2 linked regions of the Caenorhabditis elegans genome follow. The protein of the gene in region 1 interacts with the protein of each later gene in a pairwise test. Each region holds a gene or a part of one and is shown on either strand. Other genes may lie near its edges. The genes, in order: pyc-1 and cdc-37.

Region 1 (9,407 bases):
GTTTTACCACACTGATTACTTCTGGTTTTTTGATCCTTCATAGCAAAGTTTCAGCACGATCTATATTTGTTTCTTCTCATTTTGACACTCAGAACTTTCTGGGTTTAATTGATAAGCGAGAGGAACAGTACCCAAATTTTAAGAAAATCTATGCCACCTATGTTAGAGTTATCTATTATAAATTTAAACAAGTTGCCATATCCAGAAAATTATCATAATATCCTTTTATGGAATCTTCTGAAAATTTAAATTATTTAATGTTCTAATAATTTAATATAAAACAAAATTTAAAAAGATCAGTATCGAACACAATTTTACAAACTTAATTGTGATGAAAATTTACTTTTTATCAACTACTTTTATATCGTATCTATAAAGTTTTCATAAATTAACATTTGTTCTATGTACCCTTTGATCTTTTCACTTTTGACCTCTAATCTCAATGAGACATCAATTATTCAAAATGTGCACGTATTTTCTTTACCCCTCCTCTCTTTTCATACAGCAGTTCTGAGTACGTTCATGGTGCATCGTTTTCTAAACTCAACAGTCGTGTTTCTTTCTCACAAGTCTTTTTTCCTCTACGTTTACGAGTCTCTTATGCCAACCTCGTGATCGCCAGTGATTGCCGAAAGTGCGAAGAACGATCAAAATTTGAAACTTATCGAAGCTGGTTCTGTGATGTTTTGATTAGTACGAAATAAGTCATGTCATGATAGATCGAAAATTCATAGATTCTGAGATTTTCGATTTTCAGCGATAATCTAGCTATCAGATAAAATTTATGTAAACAATTTTCACATAGTCTTTCAGTTTCCAACCCTGAATTTCTAATTTTATCATTGAAATTCTTTCGTTAAATGGAATCCAAATCTTGTTTATTGGCCAGTTTAATTTTATTAAATGTGTTTCATTGATCATTAAATATCATTATGTTGATCTTTAAAGTGAACTTAATTAAATCATTTTTATTTTCAGCCCTTTACGAAAATTAACTATCCCACTACGACCAAAAACAGTTTTGAACATTTTGACATTTTGAAAAATCGAAGGTTCTGAAGTTTAAATCATTTATCCTCCTCCTCTGCGTCTCAGTTTTTGTGTTCTAGTGTCCACCCGAGTCGACTGATAAGACAAAATGACACAAACACCGTCTCTCGGCTATCAGTTTGTTGTCGCCGCAAATTCATAGCCATGGTCAAAGTGTTGATCTAGTTCTCTTTGAATCTAGATTTTTTTCAAATTTTTAACTTGATTGTGATACTCTAAGACATTTTATATCTTTAAATCCGCAAAATTAAAAAAAATTATTATAGTGCGTCCATAGTCTGCGGAAAACGGGAATTTCCCGCGTGCGGAAGCGTCCATAGTCTGCGGAAAAACCGGAGTTCCTCGCTTTTTTTTTCCTCAAAATTCAAAAAGTAGGCGTGGCCAACCAATCAGCTGTTGTTTCTTGTTTTCCCATTGCTCAGCTTAAAATTTTACAGCCTCTAATTGGTTGAACACGCCCACTATTTTGAAATTGACCAATAACAAAGCGAGAAACTCCTTGTTTTTTTCCGCAGACTATGGACGCTTCCGCACGCGGGAATTCCCCGTTTTCCGCAGACTATGGACGCACCATTAACACTAATCCCCGAGATATCAAAAAAAAAAACTAACGATAGAACAGCAAAAAATATTGGAATATTTGGCCGTGCGGAATAGATATTTAATATGGCATGCTCATAAACCATTCTAAAAACTAATTTTCTAATTTTACAAAAATCCAAAACTGAATGTTGAACGTTCTGTGGCTTCTGTAGTTTCTGTAGTTTCTGATAACTTCCTTCTTTGTTTACTTTTATTTTTTTCAATTTTCCTTATTTTCTCTAGGTTCTTCGTCTGGTCTTGGGTATGCCACGTGGTTCTTCTTTCACATCTCATTTCACCGAAAAAACCTAGAAAATCGAAAAACAAAATATTTTATTTTCTTCCCTTCTCCTATCATTCTATCAATGTTATCAGTACTGTTGTTATTCTTCTCTACAAATATCACTAGGTGGTTCTATGGAGAATGAACAATGATTTTTAAATCAATTAATGTATCTTCATACATACACTCACTCTCATGTGGTGTGACCTCTTGGTCTTTTCAAAATCTCTATTGCTCTGCGTACGTGACCTTTCACATTTTTCACCGTTCTAATTTATCACGTGGTCAACGTGGATACTTCTAAAAATCTCAAATAATGTCCGAATTCCGAAGAAGTTTACCACACTTCGATTCGTTCTTGAGCTTTCTGCTCTCACACAGTAGAAGGTACACCAAAGTAATGTTTCTGTGTCTCTTCGATGTTCACACTATCATTATTGAATAATCTTCATTGGTTGTATTCACCGAATAGGTTCACCGTCTCAAAACTATGCATGTTTCAGATAAACGACAACGATGCGGTTCTCCCGCATCCCACCGATCTTCGCTAATGTCGTCCGACAGACACATTATCGTAACTATGCCAATGGAGTTATCAAACCAAGAGAATTCAACAAGGTATTTCATTTCTTTTTCGTGCTTGAAGATAAATTCGGAAATTTTTTCAGGTTATGGTGGCCAATCGTGGAGAAATTGCAATCCGTGTGTTCCGTGCCCTCACAGAATTGAACAAAACTTCTGTTGCGATTTACGCCGAGCAGGACAAAAACTCGATGCATCGTCTGAAAGCTGACGAAGCCTATCTTGTAGGAAAAGGTCTTCCACCGGTTGCTGCTTATCTGACTATTGACCAGATTATAGAAACTGCCCTGAAGGTTTGTAGGACAAAAATTGACCAAGATTATCGTACCCTTTATAGCACAACATTGATGCTATTCATCCCGGATATGGATTTCTGTCAGAGCGATCTGACTTTGCAGCTGCTTGTCAAAATGCAGGAATAGTGTTCATTGGTCCTAGCCCCGACGTTATGGCTCGAATGGGAGACAAAGTTGCTGCTCGTCAAGCTGCCATTGAAGCTGGTGTTCAAGTCGTTCCAGGAACTCCTGGACCAATTACAACTGCTGATGAAGCTGTCGAATTTGCAAAGCAGTACGGTACACCAATTATTTTGAAGGCCGCTTATGGAGGAGGTGGTCGTGGAATTCGTCGTGTTGATAAATTGGAAGAAGTTGAAGAGGCATTCCGTAGATCCTACTCGGAAGCTCAAGCTGCGTTTGGAGACGGAAGTCTTTTCGTTGAAAAGTTTGTTGAGAGACCAAGACATATTGAAGTTCAGCTGCTTGGTTAGTTTCAGCGGAAACTATTATAATTACATAATATATTTTTCAGGAGACCATCATGGAAATATTGTTCATTTGTATGAGCGTGATTGTTCAGTGCAACGTCGTCATCAAAAGGTTGTTGAAATTGCTCCAGCGCCAGCTCTCCCAGAAGGTGTTCGTGAGAAAATTTTGGCAGACGCTCTTCGACTTGCAAGACATGTTGGATACCAAAATGCTGGTACAGTCGAATTCCTGGTTGATCAGAAGGGCAACTACTATTTCATCGAAGTGAATGCACGTCTTCAAGTCGAGCATACAGTAACTGAAGAGATCACTGGTGTGGATCTTGTCCAAGCTCAAATTCGTATCGCCGAAGGAAAATCTCTGGATGATCTGAAGCTTTCACAGGAAACTATTCAAACTACTGGCTCAGCTATTCAATGTCGTGTCACAACTGAAGATCCAGCTAAAGGATTCCAGCCAGATTCCGGAAGAATTGAAGTTTTCCGATCCGGAGAGGGAATGGGAATTCGTCTTGATTCAGCATCTGCCTTCGCAGGATCAGTCATTTCACCTCACTACGATTCTTTGATGGTCAAAGTAATTGCATCGGCTAGAAATCATCCGAACGCTGCCGCAAAAATGATTCGTGCCCTCAAAAAGTTCCGTATCCGAGGCGTAAAGGTGAGAATTCAATCAAAAAATGAAATCAAAGTACACCAAATCATGTTGATAGCTATCACCATTTTCTCACTGATAAGGAAACCCATTGCCACTGACTGATATTCTGCCTGATGGCTGATCAATGACTAAACTTTAAACTTTTTCAGACAAACATCCCATTTCTGCTCAACGTTCTTCGCCAGCCCAGCTTCCTTGATGCATCCGTCGATACGTATTTCATTGATGAGCATCCAGAGTTGTTCCAATTCAAACCAAGCCAAAACCGTGCTCAAAAGTTGTTGAACTATTTGGGAGAAGTTAAGGTGAACGGTCCAACTACTCCTCTTGCTACTGACCTGAAACCAGCAGTTGTTTCTCCTCCGATCCCATACATCCCAGCTGGAGCCAAACCGCCGACTGGACTTCGTGATGTACTTGTTCAAAGAGGACCAACTGAGTTTGCAAAGGAAGTTCGCAGTAGACCAGGATGTATGATCACTGATACTACATTCAGGTATAAACTCAAAAAGAAAGTAACATATATTAATTTCACATTTTCAGAGATGCACATCAATCTCTTCTTGCAACACGAGTACGTACCTATGATATGGCTGCTATTTCACCTTTTGTTGCCCAATCATTCAATGGTCTCTTCTCACTTGAAAACTGGGGAGGAGCTACTTTCGATGTTTCCATGCGCTTCCTCCACGAGTGTCCATGGGAACGTCTTCAAACTCTTCGCAAACTGATTCCAAATATTCCATTCCAATGTCTTCTGCGAGGTGCCAATGCTATGGGATATTCAAATTATCCTGATAACGTTATTTACAAGTTCTGCGAGTTGGCGGTGAAAAATGGAATGGATGTGTTCCGTGTATTTGATTCACTGAACTATCTTCCAAATCTTCTCGTCGGAATGGAAGCCGTTGGAAAGGCCGGTGGAGTTGTTGAAGCTGCTATCGCATACACTGGAGATGTTACCGATAAGTCTCGTGACAAATACGACCTCAAATACTATTTGAACTTGGCTGATCAACTTGTCAAAGCTCAAGCGCATATTCTTTCTATCAAGGATATGGCTGGAGTTCTGAAACCGGAAGCTGCCAAGTTGTTGATTGGCGCTCTCCGAGACAAGTTCCCAGATATTCCAATTCACGTTCATACCCACGATACATCTGGAGCTGGAGTTGCTGCTATGCTTGAGTGTGCCAAAGCTGGAGCTGATGTGGTCGATGCTGCAGTTGATAGCATGAGTGGAATGACTTCTCAGCCTTCAATGGGAGCTATTGTAGCTAGTCTTCAAGGAACTAAACATGATACTGGTGAGTTACAATATCGTTTGAAAAATGTCTAATTTATATTTAAGGTCTTTCTCTTGATGACATTTCAAAATATTCTGCATACTGGGAGTCAACTCGTCAACTCTATGCTCCATTCGAATGTGCCACCACCATGAAAAGTGGAAATGCCGATGTTTACAAGCACGAAATTCCAGGAGGACAGTACACGAACTTGCAATTCCAAGCATTCTCTCTCGGACTTGGGCCACAGTTCGATGAAGTCAAGCGTATGTATCGTGAAGCTAATCTTGTTCTTGGCGACATAATTAAAGTTACGCCATCATCCAAGATTGTCGGTGACTTGGCTCAGTTTATGGTGCAAAACAACTTGACTCGCGAAACTCTTGTCGACCGTGCCGATGATCTATCCTTCCCAAAAAGTGTCGTTGATTTCATGCAAGGAAATGTCGGACAACCTCCATATGGATTCCCTGAGCCATTGAGAACTAAAGTCCTTCGTGGAAAGCCAAAAGTCGATGGAAGGCCAGGAGAAAATGCTAAGCCAGTTGATCTAGATGCTGTGAAGGTCGAACTTGAAGAGAAACATGGACGTACTTTGTCTGAAGAAGATGTGATGTCATATTCGATGTTCCCAACGGTTTTCGATGAGTTTGAGACTTTCCGTCAACAATATGGACCAGTTGATAAGCTGCCAACGAGACTCTTCTTGACTGGATTGGAGATTGCGGAAGAAGTTGATGTAAGTGATTCTACATTAATCTACATTTCTGAATTTCACGACTTATGAATTTTATTTCAGGTTGAAATCGAGAGTGGAAAAACTCTTGCAATTCAATTGCTCGCTGAAGGAAAACTAAACAAGCGTGGAGAACGCGAAGTCTTCTTTGATCTCAATGGACAAATGAGAAGTATCTTCGTGGTTGACAAGGAAGCTTCCAAGGAAATTGTAACTCGCCCAAGAGCTCTCCCAGGTGTCCGTGGACATATTGGAGCACCAATGCCAGGAGATGTTTTGGAGCTGAAAATCAAGGAAGGCGACAAGGTAATACAACGCATATCTAAAGATGTAATAAATCAATCATGCATCCGGGATATGTATTCTGAATTTCTTTGAAAAACAAAAAAAGACAAATGGGACGAATTCAGAAGCGGTGGGCCCCACAACGGAAATTGTAGGGAAAAACGGAAAGAGATAAATTTATAGCCTTATGCCTCCCACGTTTTTTCTTCTTGTCCTACACAAAAATCACATAAAAAAATGATGGCATAAAAAATGAATATAGGAATTATTTCTTTTCAGGTTACCAAGAAGCAACCCCTATTTGTGCTTTCCGCCATGAAAATGGAGATGGTCATCGACTCTCCAATTGCTGGAACCGTCAAGGCTATCCATGCACCACAAGGAACCAAATGTAGTGCCGGAGACTTGGTAGTTGAAGTTGAACCATGAACTGACATCAATAAACTCGCATTTTGTCTCTTTTTTTGTTAATTCCATTCACCATCACAAATTCCGCCACATCGAAATTATATTTGGCGTTGTGCTATATAGAATGATTAGCCACCACCTTCTCTTTGCCATTCGAACCATCTCAATGTGTATATTCTGTGTATTGCCTCCCCAAAATTTTCTAAACGTCTTCATTGCCAGTAATTTTTCGTTTTCCCTCCACTTTTGCATTTATATTGTTTTCTTAGAAAAAGTATTTATTGCATCGGGTGCTCATTGTCTTTGTGTAGAATATAAACTCGTTCACTTCTCTCTCAATTTTATCACTGAAACTCACCGAAGAGCAATGCAACTCGATAAAGCAACTCGATAAAATCAATTATTACGTAGAAATCTAATGATGGGAAGAGTCGCCATATCATACGCGCATTGGTCTCGCCACGCGAACTGCGAGCTAGCTCGTCTCACTTTACTGACCACTATTGCTGAGAAGATTTTTAACATAAAAATAGGTTGCAATGGAGACTCATAAATCAACAGGAGTTACAGTAATTTCGTGTTTGCTGGGGAAAATGTTTATCTTTAGACTTCTACATAATACCTACGTTAGTGTAAATAGTACTATTCACTACGCCATTTAATTTAAAAAAAACAAAACACAAATTATAGAGACTGAAATATCTGAAAAGAAAACGTATGTTTTAAAGTTTTATTTATTTTACTTGGGAATGGTTTCAGAGAATTTAGAATTTTAAAACAAATTTAGTGCCATTCGATAGCTGATATTATGTACTTCTTCAACGTAAGAGACCATTTTTGCCTCGGACATCTAGAACTCGAGATATTTGCGTCTGAAAATTACTACTGATTTCAGTTGATTTTCAACGTAAGCCCAACTATTTATTTCATATGGTTAAGAGTTTTTACGTGAACAGAATATACTTCAAAAAGATTTTTATTTATTTATTGTCAGTTCAAAATCACGGCTCTGTGGCTCAACGGTTCTGGGCTCATGATCAGATGATCCAAAGTTCAATATCCTGAAGTCTAACGTTTTTTTGCAATTTTTTACAGTGGCATAGGATTGTTCATATAGGGCAGACAGAACATTTTGACCCGTTTAAAATATGATTGTTTTTTCTTCTAAAACACTCAACTAACAGTTTGGAGAAATAAAAAAAACAAATATTTTTTGACATTTTGACAAAAAATCCTCCATCAAACCCATGCAAAATTTTGCTTCAAAAAATTTTTTTGAAAATTTTTTCTTAACTTCTGAAATAATGTAGAGGGCTTTGCTAGTTTCCACAAATTTAAACGTCCAAATCACAGTTTTTGACAAAAAAAAAACCGGATCTATTTTCACCGTCGATGCTTGTGAAACCACTTGTCTTTAAAATCCCAAAACTCTGTCGGAAAATTTTTTCTGGAAAAGTAATCAACTGGAAAATTATAGATCATGATTCAAACAACAACTTTTCTGTTGAACACTTTACGTAAAAAAATTTGGTTGTAGAGATATAAACGCTTGAAGTAAAGCAACACGGTCTGTTAAAGTTACAGTGGATTTCATTACAATATCTCTACAACTAAATTTGTTTTAAAGTTCTAAACCCTCTGCAAATCATTCCCTAGTTAGACTACATTATTATCGGAAAAGTACGATCGCACAATTTTCTCATAATTTATTTTTGATCTACCTTGTTGACTAGGCTCATCCCCGTCCTTCGACAAGACAGCCACAACAAAATAACAACGGCAACCATATTGGGGGGGGGGGGGGGGGGGGGGAGTCAAGTTCAACAGGTAGATCAAAAATAAATCATGAGAAATTTGTGCGATCGTATTTTTTGATAATTATTTTATTTTATTTTTCTGAATTAATTTTTTTTTAAATTCAGTCAGACTAGAATTTTCTACCAGAACCTGTCTAAAAAAATTCAAAAATTTATCTTCTCAAGGTTCTTTAATACGTGCATTTTTTCAGAATCTGAAAGTCGTCGCGCCGGAAACAGTCCCATCAATTCAAAAACAGCAAAGTGATCGCTCTTCAATTGGAGACTCGAGAATCGGAGAGGCATCAATTGATAGTTCAGCCACTGATCAGATCGTCAAACCGGAGCATATCACTGAAAATCGGGCTCGTCCTTCAAAGAATTGACCTATGAGCAGGGTCGGGTAAGCAATTTTTTTGGTTTTGTTTTTTGGAAAAAATGTCGAAAAATTGGAATTTGTGAAATTTTTGGAATTTTCAAAAGGATTTCTGAACTCCTATTATCGAAAAAATACGATCGCACAATTTTCTCATAATTTATTTTTGATCTACCTTGTTGACTAGGCTCATCCCCTTCCTTCGACAAGACAGCCACAACAAAATAACAACGGCAACAAGATTGGGGGCAGAGTCAAGTTCAACATGTAGATCAAAAATAAATCATGAGAAATTTGTGCGATCGTATTTTTTCGATAATACCAATTTTCGACTCTTTTCTATTATTTAAGACACCATGAAAACATGAGAATTCCTACATTTGTGGCGAAATTTATCATTTTCATTTACATGACGCGTGGTATCGAGATGAAAGAAACGGGAGACAAAGAACGACTTTTTTTTGTATTTAAATCTTCACGTTTCGCGTCTCTCTCCCGTTTCTTTTATCTCGATACCACGTATCATGCAAATGAAAATTATAAATTTTCGCGCGCGCACCTGAAATTAAATTCCAACTTGTTGTTATTTTTATTCAATACTA
Region 2 (7,707 bases), on another chromosome or scaffold:
AATTGAAAAAAAATTACGAGGTGATCCATCCGACATTGATAAGTCCAAGTGAAAGTGTAGAACTGATTGGAAGTGTGAAAACTATAAAATATCGATTTTAAATTAGAACATATTATGGGATCACATGCGTACTGCACAACATATTTGACGCGCAAAATATCTCGAAGCGAAAACTACAGTAATTCTTTAAATGACTACTGTAGCGCAAGGTGTCGATTTACGGGCTCAATTTTTGAAATTAATAAAAATAATTTATAGAATATTTAAACTAAGTAAAAAATAAGAAAATAATTCGAAAATAAATTAATTTCAAAAATCGAGCCCGTAAATCGACACCTGGCGCTACAGTAGTCATTTAAAGAATTACCGTAGTTTTCGCTACGAGATATTTTGCGCGTCAAATATGTTGTGCAATACGCATTCTAATAACATTTCTCAAAATAAAAATTGAAATGTTTGAAAAAAAAATTAATTCTTTCTGAATTTTTTGAACTTTTCCAAAAACTCTGAAATTGCAGATTAAATTATTTTTAAATCAGAAAATCAATAACTAACAAGCATTCATCACATTATACGACGAAGATCCACAAGTGACACCTCCAGTCAGGGGTACTGTAGCTGATTGGAGCGTCTCACAGTAACGAATGACAGTTGGGGTCCAATCTGGAAATTATTTTTATTTAAGAAATCATTTGTGTCACGTGGTGTCAGGCTCTTCCCATCACGGTTTGATCTACAAAAAATGCGGGAATTTTTCGCCCTAAAATGTGACGTCAGCAGGCAAAATCAGTTGAGAACTCTGCGCCTCAACTCCCGCATTTTTTGTAGATCTACGTAGATCACGCCGAAATGGCACGTTATTGGGTCTGCTAAATCAAAATTTGAAGTTTGTAGGCTAGCAGACCCATCCTAGACTCACTTCCATACAAGCTCAATTGTGCCAAGGAAAATGGGACAAAAACTAGTAGAATAAGCCGCGAATTTACCATTTTCAGCCAAAAAATGACCGATAATACATCCATTATTGAACTTTATAGTTGTCAGGCGGAGACTAACGTTTGCTTACAAAACATCACTTTCAAAAAATCGTGAGAAAAAAAAACGAATAAACACAATAAGAAGAAAGTTGATGATGATAATCTTTATGCTATTCCGAATTGGAATTTTTGAATACGAAGTGGAACGATTCTCGAAGCAAAAAAAAACTTTTTTACAGGTGTTCGAGAGGGAAAATAAACAGTAAATGTCGTGGGGGGTGTAGAATAAATAAAGAAATAATTGGGCCATTTTCAGTGAATCTTGGGGAAAAAGTAAAGTGCGGTGCAGAAAAAACAAGTAGATCAGGGGAACTTTCAAACGGGGAATAATGGGGAAATTTAGGAGCTGGTTGTTGGCTCTTCCTCGGCTGGAGCAGCTTCCTCATCGTCGTCGTCGTCGTCAGCTTTTCCGGGCACCCAGAGTCCAGAGGCGATGCATCGATCGAAATGGTACTTGAAGACCTGAAAATTTGGATTTTTGGATGTTGAAATTAGATGAATTTGGCTAAAAATAATAGCCTACAAACTACTAATTTCGATTTAGCAGACCATAGGTGGTTTTGAAGAAATTTGGTCTGCTAGACTACAAACTACAAAACTCGATTTAGCAGACCAAAATTAAAAAATGCCTGTTTTCAGCTTAAAATTTTGATTTTTGATTCGTTTTTTTTTGGAATACAATGTTAATTCACTCAAAAATTTGAAAATAGATCAATTTTCCCCCGAAAGTTCAGATTTTTTCAGGATTTTATATTAAAATACGCACTTTTGTCTTAAAACACAAAAATCGCACAATTTTCCACTAAAAATCGCAAAAAACCTGAATTTTTGCTAATTTCTATTTGAAAAATATTCATTTTTCCGCTGAAAAATTGAAAATTTATCAATTTTTGCAATTTTCATTGCGAAAATTGAAAACTTTGGGTCTGCTAGTCTACAAACTACACATTTCGATTTAGCAGACCAATGCCATTTTGAAGAACCTTGGTCTGCTAGACTACAAACTACAAATTCCGATTTAGCAGACCAATGCCATTTGGAAGAAACTTGGTCTGCTAGACTACAAACTACAAATTTCAATTTAGCAGACCCAAATATTCACCTCTTCATCCATTTTCTGGGCGACACCCTTCAACGCCTCGATATCATGTGCCTCAAAGCACTTTCTCATCTCCTCCGGCAGCTGCTCGAACACTTCCTGTGGATCGATTCCTCCCGGAGCACTCTTCATTCGTTCGGCTTTCTCCTCGGCTTCAGCCTCCTCCATCGCGGCGTCTCTCTTCGTCTGCGCACGTGTTCTGAGACGATCCTCGAACGCCTTCACCTCATCCTGATAGTGCTTCATGTAGACCGGCTCGGCGGCTTCGAACTTCTTGAAGAATTGCTTCTGGACGGTGGTATTCGTGGCGACTGCGTTCAGCGATTTCGAGAGCTCCAGAAGATATTGAATGATGATGCATTGCTCAGCCATCGTCTTCATTTTCTCCTCATTAAAATCGATGGCGGCGTTGAGAGCCTCAATTGTGAGCCAATTTGCAGTGTACTCCGACGCCATATGCGGATGCTCGGCCAGGAACAGCTCCGTCGACTTGGCTCCGTTCTTGAGCACGGCCATCTTCTCCAGAAGGCTCTCGTGAGTCTCGAAGAAAGTGCTCATCGCATGAGTGTCCTCCTCATCGGTTTTGGGAGCTTGCGGCTTCTTCTCGGTGATCTGAAATTACAGAATTAATCAATTTGCACAGAAAAATCTTCAAAACCTTATTGATCCTCGACGTGCTGAACGCCTCATGACCGATCGTGTCGACGTTCCATGGCTCCAGACGCTCTTTCTCCTCGAGTTCGGCCTCCTTCTTGCGCCAGGCTTCTTCTTGCGCCTTCACCTCGTCGATTTGCTTCTGAATATCCGACTTGTCAGTGACATCGGCTGCGGCAAGCTTCTTCTCGAGCTCCTCCATCTTCTTGCTCGTCGTGCCCTTTTCCTTATCGATTTTCTCCTGTTCCATCTTCTTCTCGGCCATTCGCTCCAAACGAGCTTGATGGCGCCATCTGAAGAGCGACGGAGTGTCAATGTTCGGGTGAGTGTCGTCCTCGTCGTCGGAAACCTCGATATCCTTCCATTTGGAGTAGTCGATTGGCATTTTTGAGCTGAAAATCGAGAAAATTGAGTGGAAAATAAGGAATTAGCAGGAAAAGCGAGAGAAAACTGATAATCGCTGGAAAATTCCGACTCGGTTGCCACGACAACGAGGATAATCCGCGTGAAATTACGAAAACAGAAATTTCATGAAGAAAACGTGGCATTATAATGATGTTTCAAAGGATTTACGTGGAATTAACTATTTGCTGAGCAATTTTCGAGAAATTTCTTCAAAATTTCTCAAATAGAAATACTACGTTTTCTAGCGGATTTCGGCCTTTTTTTTGGCCCAAAACTCCGACAAATTGATTTTTAAAAGCCTGTAGAATTAAATTTAGACTTCTAAAAGTGGAAAAAATCGAAGGAAACCCCGAAAATAACATGAGAAAGGCGAAAAATGACTTTTGTTTTTCTTCTCGGTCCTTCTGTGGCAATGCGCGTCAGATATGGTGTTTTCTGTGTGCTTCTGCGTCACGGTGTTTGCACACAATTCCTTTTTCGCTGATTTTTTTAATTTTCAGCGCGCTGCAGCGCCATTTCTTGCATTTTTCAAGCATTTCCATTGATTTTTCCGCGAAAAAACATCTGAAATTTCAAAAAATCAATGTTAAACTCACAATTTTTCTTCTTCGCACTCGCTGTCCCTCTTGAAAACTCGCGAAATGACTGTATTTCCTTTTTTTTTCACGCAAAATTTCCAAATTTCCATGTTTTCAGGGTAGTTCAACACGTGAAAATGGCTCTTCTCACCTCAAAGCTTCGGTATCTTCTGCTCTTCTACGCAGTCTTCCAGGCTGCTCAATTTGGCCTCCGCTGGAAGTCTTATGACATCTCGCCGAAGCAGTTCAAGACTATCGCTGGAAAGGCTGCTGGTGAGGAAAAACATATTTTTCTGCGAAAATACCGCAATTTTAATATATTGTATATTTTCAGCTGCTCCAACAATCTCCCAGTCAATTTCCACATTGACGTCTGGAATGCGCACTTATTACGAGCCAATCATGCCAAGTCACTTCGAATGGCACGCTATTCAGTTGGGAGGCCTCACTTTAAGGGTGAGGAACAGGAAAAATCGAAAAAAAATCTTAAATTTAATGAATTTTCCAGATGTACCCAATGCTGACCGCTTTCACCGAGTTCGCCGCCGCCTTCTCCGCTCCGTTCCCAACTTCAGGACGCCCGGGGCTCCATTGGGCAAATACGACGTGCACCGTGTTGAAAGGAAAAGTCAGCCGATTCAATGACGGAACTCAGGACGAGACGTCGGAGAACTTTGCTTCGGGAGCCGCTTTCAGGCACGGACAGTTCGAGTCCCACGTGTACAGCTTCGAGAAGGACACCTACGTCGCGTGCTACGGTAAATTACACCGAAAATCAAGGAAAATTCGTTTTTTTTTGAGTCTGGCAGACCAATTTCGAATTAAAATCACCTGGGTCTGCTAAATATAATTTTGTAGTTTGTAGTCTAGCAGACCAATTTCGAAATCAAATCACTTGGTCTGCTAAATATAATTTTGTAGTTTGTAGTCTAGCAGACCAATTTCGAACTGAAATCGCATGGTCTGCTAAATACAGTTTTGTAGTTTGTAGTCTAGCAGACCAATTTCGAATTGAAATCACTTGGGTCTGCTAAATATAATTTTGTAGTTTGTAGTCTAGCAGACCAATTTCGAACTGAAATCGCTTGGTCTGCTAAATATAATTTTGTAGTTTGTAGTCAACCAGACCCATATAAAAATCCCCTCGTTTCTAATGAATTTTTATATTTTTCAGGTCGCGGCTTCCTCCCACTCTCCTCCACCGTCCACGTCACCTCTGGAATCTCACTCGGCGAGCCACTCTCGGTCATTCAATTCTACATGAAGCAGGCCTACAACTACTGGAACAACCTGAGCCACACCCTCTATCGTGTCTTCCAGCACTACAAGGCCCGCGCCACTGGAGAACTTTAAATAATTTATGTGATTCCCCATCCGGTGCATTTCTACAAGCATTCTAACCCGAAATTTTCATTTATTCAGTCATGTTTTATCCCAATGTCCCCCCTCTACTTCCATTTTTACGGTTGTGTAATTCGATTTCTTGAGCCATTTTATTGCATAATTTAAAATACAAGAACATATTTATTTCATCACCTCAACCATTTAACCATATAGCTCAACCGAAAAAAATAATTGCACAGGTATTTGAAGGCATTTGCAGTGAAAGATGATCAAAAGTCGCTGCTTACTCATCGTCGGCCAGCCGGACGAATCGAACAGTAGTTCTGGTGAGGGAAACCTTTGCCTTGATCCCTCTTTTGCACACAATTTGGACGTGTTGAACCATTCCATCATCCACGACCAGAGGATCTTCGTATCTAGTAAAGTCTATTCCGCGGAGAATAGTTCCATGTACAGGATGCTCAATATTCAGACCATCTACAACAAGATCACTGATTCTCAGCTGTGAGTTCTGAATCCAGATCTTCAAGAACAAGTTGACATCCTTTGCAGTCATTGAGTGGTGCAATGAACGAAGCGTTCGACTATTTGACAAGAACACCTCGTTCAGTGTGAGATTGGTGACTTTCAGCTCCTCATAATTTTGAACCAAGAGTTCTTTTCTTATTGGGACCACGACAATCTCCAGGTTCTCTGGATGAGTCCCGAAGAGATGGTGCCCCTGAACTTCCGTGGATGTGGTGCTGCAGCTCGCGATCTTCCTGTTCTCAAAGAGAGAACAAATCGTTTTTATCTCTTCATTCATCCCATTTTCGAGGTTAATGTGGATTTGCCGGTTCTGATGCAAAACCTCGTGGATGTGGTCCAGGAACTTGATAAGTGTGAGGTGAGGAATCTCGATTTCGTCTTCAGATCCTCGCATATTCCTTCTAGCTACCACCCTCGGTGGATTTTCTTTAAATATGAATAAATATCTGTCATTGAGACTGGACCTCAGCCTGATTGTCGAATCAGAGAATGTCAAACTTTCGTGGTTCCCGTTGACTCTGGCAACCGCAGTTTTCGCTTTTGCTGAGAGTAGCGAGATCGAGAATCTGAAATAACATAAGGTTTGGGAGTCAACTTGAAGCTGTTATTTTGGGGTTTCTTCCAAATTAATTCTTTAAAGAATAATAAGAGTTGGAGGTTTTGAGGTTATTACGGTTTATTAAGGATAAATTAATAGAGAAATCACCGAGTTAATGGGACATGTAAGGAGGGGAAAAGGACGATAAGTAACACAAGTAAAAGGAATTAGAGAAGACCTAGAATGAGCGTTTCCGGCTCCTTATATAGGGGAATTGGGCGGGGCCAAGAAAAGTCGAGAATGATGACAATTAGAGTTGGCGCCGGCAATTCAGATCCGCGCGCCGTCCGGTGGGGCGCGCTTGCATCGTGACCTCCAAACGTTGGCAGGCCTAGTCGTTGTCTTGGGCAGCGGTTCTGGCCGGATAACCGTGATGTTATCCGCTACGACATCACTTGCTGGACCTGTAAGACTATACGAAAGTAATGCTCTTGTATGACGGTGGGAGAGTACAAGGATCGTGAAGATTCTTACAATATCTGTCATTGAGACTGGACCTCAGCCTGATTGTCGAATCAGAGAATGACACACTTTCGTGGTTCCCGTTGACTCTGGCAACCGCAGTTTTCGCTTTTGCTGAGAGTAGAGAGATCGAGAATCTGAAATAACATAAGGTTTGGGAGTCAACTTGAAGCTGTTATTTTGGGGTTTCTTCCAAATTAATTTTTTAAAGAATGAATCGTCAGTGGGGATTCAGTATGAATTCAATAGTTCAATTTGACCGAATATCAAAATGAAACTGTCCAAAAATTTTCAGATTGTTAAAGTTTCAGCAAAAGTTTTGGTAAGTTGCCAAAAATGTCTTTTTTTTTTAATTTTTTTCAGTGTACTTTTTGGAACATTGGCTGCATATCACAATAAAACGTTTCAAAAAATTTCTGAAAGTTTTTTATTAACTGCAAAAAAGTGGCAATTACTCAGTTTTTGCCACTCATAATTTTGGAAGTCGACCAAAAAAAAAAGTTTTTTTCTACATTTTTTATGTTTTTCATGTTAATTATTCGTATTAAAACATATGTACCGTATTTCTTGCGAAGAAGTTGCGAAAACCAACGGGATTGTGAGCGAAATTTAGCTTTACATCTGCGAAGAAATTGAAAAAGTCGTCTGAAAAGCTGCAGAAGTTTGCTTAAAAGCTAACATGCCTAATTGTTGTTAAGAAGTTGCAAGAGTATGCTATGAAGTTAGACCGTATTGCCGAGTAGAGTAGAAGTTAGTTTTTTCCAAACTTTTTGAACTCAATAATTGACGAATTGCAGAAGTTTGGAACTGCCGAAAATGGTATATTGCCGCCTACCCTTGCGAACAAATTAGTGTGGAATTAAAAAAAGGTATTAAAACTCACTGCTCAATGAGGCACATTTGTCGAAGAGTAATGCTGATGATTTCTTGTGGTAGAAGCAGAAGAGGAAAAGGGGTCCTAGTTGTGTCACCCATGGCAAGGAATGGTTGTAACTGCTGAAA

Evidence for each region.
Region 2: the proteins of pyc-1 (region 1) and cdc-37 interact in a two-hybrid assay, tested with the Caenorhabditis elegans proteins (one large-scale study listed by BioGRID).

The regions. Positions count from the first base shown.
Region 1 is NC_003283.11:11,815,377-11,824,783, reverse strand, and holds pyc-1 (Pyruvate carboxylase 1), read left to right. Parts: upstream 1-2,418; 5' UTR 2,419-2,431; coding exon 2,432-2,533; intron 2,534-2,583; coding exon 2,584-2,790; intron 2,791-2,834; coding exon 2,835-3,261; intron 3,262-3,307; coding exon 3,308-3,924; intron 3,925-4,070; coding exon 4,071-4,417; intron 4,418-4,464; coding exon 4,465-5,225; intron 5,226-5,269; coding exon 5,270-5,943; intron 5,944-6,003; coding exon 6,004-6,246; intron 6,247-6,504; coding exon 6,505-6,654; 3' UTR 6,655-7,001; downstream 7,002-9,407. UniProt on the Caenorhabditis elegans protein: Pyruvate carboxylase catalyzes a 2-step reaction, involving the ATP-dependent carboxylation of the covalently attached biotin in the first step and the transfer of the carboxyl group to pyruvate in the second.
Region 2 is NC_003280.10:576,711-584,417, forward strand, and holds cdc-37 (Hsp90 chaperone protein kinase-targeting subunit), read right to left. Parts: upstream 3,884-7,707; coding exon 3,792-3,883; intron 3,183-3,791; coding exon 2,795-3,182; intron 2,749-2,794; coding exon 2,140-2,748; intron 2,005-2,139; exon of another isoform or gene 1,951-2,004; intron 1,500-1,950; coding exon 1,377-1,499; downstream 1-1,376. Other genes in the region: W08F4.7 (CW domain-containing protein), read right to left, coding at 18-81, 556-663, 920-1,022; W08F4.3 (Sigma non-opioid intracellular receptor 1), read left to right, coding at 3,911-4,046, 4,108-4,229, 4,282-4,531, 4,948-5,126; fbxb-14 (F-box associated domain-containing protein), read right to left, coding at 5,401-6,039; W08F4.12 (F-box domain-containing protein), read right to left, coding at 6,514-6,647, 6,718-6,842, 7,589-7,680.